Linked DNA regions of Macaca fascicularis. The protein of the gene in region 2 interacts with the protein of the main gene of each other region in a biochemical or structural test. Links are inferred from orthologs where the notes say so. Each region holds a gene or a part of one and is shown on either strand. Other genes may lie near its edges.

The links.
Region 1: the proteins of SNTB2 (region 2) and PTPRN form a complex in vitro, tested with the Homo sapiens proteins (2 studies listed by BioGRID and IntAct). The link is inferred for Macaca fascicularis from reciprocal best matches to the Homo sapiens genes SNTB2 and PTPRN.

What each region holds. Positions count from the first base shown.
Region 1 is NC_088386.1:115,232,086-115,235,603, forward strand, and holds part of PTPRN (receptor-type tyrosine-protein phosphatase-like N), read right to left. Parts: intron 2,846-3,518; coding exon 2,679-2,845; intron 1-2,678. UniProt on the Homo sapiens protein: Plays a role in vesicle-mediated secretory processes. Required for normal accumulation of secretory vesicles in hippocampus, pituitary and pancreatic islets.
Region 2 is NC_088394.1:65,402,610-65,406,127, reverse strand, and holds part of SNTB2 (beta-2-syntrophin), read right to left. Parts: intron 819-3,518; coding exon 634-818; coding exon of another isoform or gene 593-633; intron 1-592. UniProt on the Homo sapiens protein: Adapter protein that binds to and probably organizes the subcellular localization of a variety of membrane proteins. May link various receptors to the actin cytoskeleton and the dystrophin glycoprotein complex.

The sequences.
Region 1 (3,518 bases), on a different chromosome or scaffold from region 2:
ATAATGATAATAGGCAGCATCTAGAGTTAATTGAGACCTTGCTATGTATCAGGCACTTATGCTAGATTTTACATACTTCATCAAATCTTGCAACAACCCTCTAAAGCAGGGGTCCCCAATCCCTGGTCCATGGACCGGTGTCAGTCTGTGGCCTGCTGGGAACCGAGACGCATAGCAGGAGGCGAGTGGTGGGCAAGTGAGTATTACCGCCTGAGCTCCGCCTCCTATTAGATCAGCCATTGCAGTAGATTGTCATAGGAGTACGAACCCCATGGTGAACGGCACATGTGAGGGATCTAGGTTGCCAGCTCCTTATGAAAATCTAATGCCTGATGATCCGAGGGGGAACAGTTTCATCCCCAAACCACCCCCCTCTCCCAGCCATGGAAAAATTGTCTTCCACAAAACTGGTCCCTGGTGCCAAAAAGGTGGGGGACCTCTGCTCTAAAGCATGTGTCATCATCCTCATCTCACAGGTAGGGGCACAGAGGAAGGCCAAGGAGCTTGCTCAGGGTCACTTTCTTAGGGTCTCTTTTATTAATTTGTTTTCCTTCTCAGGGGGCTTGACTGAACTGCATTTATTTTTTCTGTTTTTTTTTTTTTTTGAGAGGGAGTCTGGCTCTGTTGCCCAAGTGGGAGTGTGGTGGCACGGTCTCGGTTCACTGCAACCTCTGCCTGCCAGGTTTAAGAGATTCTCCTGCCTCAGCCTCCTGAGTAGCTGGGAATACAGGTGCTTGCCACCATGCCTGGCTAATTTTTGTATTTTTTTTTTTTTTTTTTTTTTTTTGAGACAGAGTCTTGTTCTGTCGCCCAGGCTGGGGTGCAGTGGCCGGATCTCAGCTCACTGCAAGCTCCGCCTCCCGGGTTTAGACCATTCTCCTGCCTCAGCCTCCCGAGTAGCTGGGACTACAGGCGCCCGCCACCTCGCCCGGCTAGTTTTTTGTATTTTTTAGTAGAGACGGGGTTTCACCGTGTTAGCCAGGATGGTCTCGATCTCCTGACCTCGTGATCCGCCCGTCTCGGCCTCCCAAAGTGCTGGGATTACAGGCTTGAGCCACCGCGCCCGGCCTAATTTTTGTATTTTTAGCAGAACGGGGTTTCACCATGTTGGCCAGTCTGGTCTTGAACTCCTGACCTCAAGTCCACCCACCTCGGCCTCCCAAAGTGCTGGGATTACAGGCGTGAACCACCGCGCCTGGCCCCGAACTACATTTATTAAGCAACAATTTATTTGTTCTGGATGTCTAATGCCAACTGAGTTTACATAATTCCAGCCTAAAGCAATCTTTTAGCTTATCCGTGCAGCTTTAAAACAGATCCATGCACTAGTTCTATCACGATTTTTTAAATGTGGAAAAAAGGAAATAGCTCTGATACCCTGGCACTGCTTTCAAGATGCCTGTGTCTCAGGCCTCAGGGACCCCAGTTAGAAACTGCTGTCCAGAGGTTCAGAAACTATACCCACGTCCCCACCCCCAGCTCTGCTCCTCTGTCCAGTACCTAGAGACATTAGACCAGCTTGGCAAGGGACAGAGAACCAGGAGAAGGGTGCAGTGCGGGTGGGCCCCTGCCCTTGGTGGCAGGCTTCCCAAGTACCTGTCTGGGGCTGGGAAAGGCAGGGGACGCTGGAGGGCTGACCTGTCTTGGTGTCAGTGTTGGAAAAGGGTAAGCCCCTCAGGTAGCCCCTGTCTAGTCCCCACCTGCTCCACTGAGCGCCCCAGAATCCAGAGATCCTCCCACACTCCTTTTGACAATCTTTGCCTCTTCCCTGTCCCCCTTGCTCCCAGCTCGGGGTGGTCCCCGGGCCACATGTCCTGTCTGTCCATGCAGCAGCCACACCTGCCAATGATCACTTTTGTGACTATGCAACTGGAGTGAGAATACTAGCTGCAGATCACAAAAATGACACTGGCAGCTGTGAGGGAGAGAGAGAAAGAGGGAAGAAGGGAGAGGGAAGGACAGAGAGAGGAAAGACACGCAGGGGGAGGGAGAGGGAGAGACGGACAGAGTGGCAGAGAGAAACTGGCAGACAGGGGAGGGAGGTGGAGAAAAACAGGGGAGGGGGCAGAGAGGGAGAAATGGAGAGAGAAGGAAAGGGTGAGGCAGAGACAGAGTGAGACAGAGATGGGGAGAGAGAAGAGGAAGAAAGAGGAAAGTAAAAGGAATGAAAGCCACATAAAAAAAAGAGAGGCGGAGAGACGGAGAGGGATGAACGAGGGATGAAGAGGAGGGATGGTGGGAGACGGGCAGGCAGGAGTGAGAGACGGAGGGGGCAGCGAGGCAGCGCAGTGCAGGGCCTGGAGACAGCGGGGCAGGAGGGACCAGGAAGGAGACAGGAAGCAGGGACCCCGGAGAGGGAGGGGAACCAGAAAGCGAAAGGCCCTCTGGAGGAAGCAGGTGGAGGAGAAGGAGCCAGTCCCGGGAGCGTGAGAGAGAGGGAGCGGAGCAGCAGCGGCCGGCGCGGAGCTGGCCCACGCGGGTGGTGGAGCCGCGGGGACGGGCACAGCCGGAGCCTCAGGCCTGGTTTTAGGGGTGGGAGCGTGGGGTCTGGAGGGGGCGGCCAGAAGTCAGAGGCCAAGGCTCCAGGCCCGACCCGGGGCTCCAGGCCGAGCTGGCGGGCGGACCTCGGCTCCGCCCCCGCCCAGGCGGCCCCTCCAGGCGGGGGCGCCCGCGCTCACCTGCGGAAGTCCAGCAGGGGCCGCGTGGAGGCCGGTGTGCCCTCTGCCGGCCAGCTGAGGAAGTGGAACTGCGTGAGCGTGCGCGTCTCCAGGGTCTGCACGTTCTTCAGGTAGAAGCTCCGCACCAGAAAGTCCTCGCACCAGATGTGCTCCGACACCAGGTTCACCTGCCCGGCAGGGGCCCAGACCTGAGCGCCGCGGGCTGCCCCAGTCCCAGCGTTTGCGCGCGCGCTCCTCGAGACCTTCTCGGTCTCTCCAACCACCCCCCGGCCTCCCAGGACGGTTCAAATGATAAGTTCCAGCGGTCCCAGGAACCCTGGCTACCTGTCACTTATCTACTGCTCAGGACCATTGGTAGCTTTTCCACCCAGACACAACTATTGTTGTGAGCCTCTCGAGGTCGGAGTTTCTCCTCCCTCTCCCTCGCAGGGTCTACCGGAGTGTCGGTGCTACACGTGCCATAAACTTGTATGAAATTCTGTAATACTCTTATTGGATTTTTTTCATTAACTACCAGCAGGACCAATGAAAGGCTTTTAAAAAAACCGTCATGTGCTTATTTGGTGGGGAAAAAATTACTATTCAGGCTCATCTGGTGATGAGAAGCTTCTGTTATGTTCTTAAGGTCTTTTGTCTTAGTGGGGGCTCACATTCTCCCATTTGTCTGAAATCTTTCTCTTTCCCCTGCTTGGCCTCTGCCCAGTTCCCCCTCTTTCTCCACCCCTCCACCTAGTCTCTCTTCGAATGAAAAAGTTTGTTTCTCTTTTACATTAGTAACATACAACGGGTATTTCTTTCTTTGCTTTGGCCACCAGGAAACTCAGAGCTAAATTAGGCTCA
Region 2 (3,518 bases):
AGGCTGAGGCAGGAGAATCACTTGAACCAGGGAGGCAGAGGTTGCAGTGAGCTGAGATGGTGCCACTGCACTCCAGCCTGGGTGACAAAGCGAGACTCCGTCTCAAAAAAAAATAAAAAAGAAAAATGATAACAAAAACCAACATCCAATGTCATCTGGAAAACTGAGAACAGCAGATACAGTGGCTCACATCTGTAATCCCAACACCTCGGGAGGCCAAGATGGGAAGATCACTTGAAGACAGGAGTTCAAGACCATCCTGGGCAGCAAAGCGAGACCTCATCTCTACAAAAAATACAAAAATTGGCCAGGCATGGTGGCACACGCCTATAGTCCAGTTCCAGTTATTCAGGAGGCTGAGGCAGGAGGATCACTTCAGCCCAGGAGGTATAGGCTGCAGGGAGCTATGATCGCACCACTACACTCCAGCCTGGGTGACACAGACCCCATCTTAAAAAAAAAAAAATTTAATTAAAAATTTCATGGTTCTAAATGGAATGTCAGTCCATGATTTTGTATATAAGGGGTAAGAAGTAATGAGAAGGAAAGAGAACATCTATTAGAAAAAAATGTGTTTCAGAAACACTCCTACCAGTTCTCCCTCGGGACCACCAAAATCAGAAACACTCTTACCAGTTCTCCCTCGGGACCACCAAAATCCAAGTATAGATTTCGGATGCCATCATCCGCAGACATCTTCAGCCTTTCAAAGGGGTAGCGGTATAATATGCTGCTGGAGCCTCCGTTTTCCCTGGAGATGGTGAACCCATTTTCATAGTGAACAGTAAGCCTCACCTCTTGGCCATTTAACATGCAGCCTGTTGGAGAAAAGCAAAAAATATTAGTTGTAAAGTTGTTATGCCAGTTATCAAGTGAAACGGGATTCTTCTGACTTCAAAATAGGAAAAATATTTTCTTGAGAATGTGTGATACCGAACCTATATGGAATCTTCTAAAGTGTGTTTTGTTTTGGTGACTGAGATGAGGCAGAAATGACCATAACACTCCTTGACATCTGATTCAGTTTAATTCCATGAGTACCCACTGAACACTCATAGTGGCAAGTGTGTGTAGGCTGTGCAGGGCACTGGAGAAGCAAGAGAGGCACAGTCCCTGCTCTCAAGGACTTTGTAAACGCATTAGCATAAACAGGAAATCCCCAGCTGTGTAAGGCAGAATGTACAGAACATGAGCAAACACCAAACTGAATGAGGCCAAAGTCAAGAAAAGGTTTCCTGGAGGAGCTGGGCCTTCAGATAGACCCTAAAGAACTGGTAAAACTGGCTGGGTACGGTGGCTCACAGCTGTAATCCCAGCACTTTGGGAGGTCGAGGTGGGTGGATCACTTGAGGTCAGGAGTTCGAGACCAGCCTGGCCAACAAGGCAAAATCCCGTCTCTACTAAAAATACAAAAATTAGCCAGGCGTGGTGGCACATGCCTGTAATCCCAGCTACTCAGGAGGCTGAGGCAGGATAACTTCTTGCACCCAGGAGGCAGAGGTTGCAGTGAGACAAAATCACACCACTGCACTCCAGCCTGGGTGACAATAGCAAGACTCTGTCTCAAAAAAAAAGGTAAAACTGGACAGGCAGGGAGGAACAGGCAGAAGGACTGAACTGGGCGAGAAGGAACAACCAAAGGACCAAAGGCAGAGAGGCCTTTCAGGAGCTGTGACATGGTTTGGTTGGCATTTGGGATGAAGATAAAGATTATGTTCATCCAAGTTAAAGGCTATACTCAGCAAAAGTCACACATTCAATGCTATCAAAGATACAATTCAAAGGATACCTCTGAATTGACAGGATACAAACAATTTTGGTCATCAAGACCAGCAAATACCCCAGGTGTGGAGGCTCATGCCTATAATCCCAGCACTCTGGGAGGCTGAGGCAGGAGGATCACTTGAGGCCAGGTGCGCTAGAGACCAGCCTGGGTAACATGACAAGATCTCATTTCTACTAAAAATAAAAAATGTATCAGGGCATGGTGGTGTGTACCTATAGTCCCAGCTACTCGGAAGGCTTGGGTGGGAGGATCACTTGCATCCAGGAGTTCAAGGTTGCAGTGAGCTATGATCACGCCACTGCACTTTAGCCTGGGTGACAGAGCAATGTCTAAACAATTTTAAAAAGAGAGATTTAGAAGTCCTTTTTTTTTTTGTTTTGAGATGGAATCTCCTTTTGTTACCCAGGCTGGGGTGCAGTGGCGTGATCTTGGCTCATTGCAGCTTCAGTTTCCTGGGCTCAAGCAATTCTTCTGCCTCAGCCTGCTGAGTAGCTGGGATTACAGACGCACACCACCACGCCCGGCTAATTTTTTTGCATTTTTAGTAGAGACAGGGTTTCACCATGTTGGACAGGTTGGTCTTGAACTCCTGACTGCAAGTGATCCACCCACCTCGGTCTCCCAAAGTGTGGAGATTATAGGCATAAGCCATCGCACATGTTTTTTTTTGTTTTTTGTTTTTTTTTTTTTGAGACAGTCTCGCTCTGTAGCCCAGGCTGGAGTGCAGTGACATGATCTTGGCTCACTGCAACCTCTGCCTCCCAGGTTGAAGCGATTCTCCTGCCTCAACCTCCTGAGTAGCTGGGATTACAGGAGTGTGCCACCACACCTGGCTAATTTATGTATTTTAAGTAGAGATGAGGTTTCACCATGTTGGTCAGGCTGGTCTCGAACTCCTGACCTTGTGATCCACCCACCTCAGCCTCCCAAAGTGCTGGGATTACAGGTGTGAGACACTGTGCCCGGCCCCCCACCCCCCGTTTTTTTTTTTTAGACAGAATCTTGCTGTGTCACCCAGACTGGAGTGCACTGGCACAATCTCAGCTGACTGCAACCTCTGCCTCCCAGGTTCAAGCAATTCCGGTGCCTTAGCCTCCTGAGTAGCTGGGATTACAGGCGGGCACCACCACACCCAGCTAATTCTTTGTATTTTTTAGTTGAGACAGGGTTTTGCCATGTTGCCCAGGCTGGTCTCGAACTCCTGAGCTCAGGCAATCCACCTGCCTGGGTCTCCCAAAGTGCTGGGATTACAGGTGTGAGCCACTGTGCCTGGCCTGAGAGGGTTTTTTTGTTTGTGTTTTTTTTGAGATAAGTGTCTCACTCTATCATCCAGGCTGGAGTGCAATGGCGCAACCTCGGCTCCTTGCAACCTCCACCTCCTGGGTTCAAACGATTCTTATGCCTCAGCCTCCCGAGTAGCTGGGATTACAGGTGTTCACTACCACGCCTGGGTAATTATTGTATTTTTAGTAGACAGCGATTTCACCGTGTTGGCCAGGCTGGTCTCAAACTCCTGACCTGAAGTGATCCGCCCACCTTGGGCTCCCAAAGTGCTTGGCCCCTGAGATTGCTTTATTTTTTATTTATTTATTTATTTATTTATTTTTGAGACAGTCTCTCTCTGTTGGCCAGGCTGGAGTGCAGTGGCACGATCTCGGCTCACTGCAACCTCCGTCTCCCGGGCTCAAGCGATTCTCCTGCCTCAGTCTCCCGAGTAGCTGGGATTACAGGT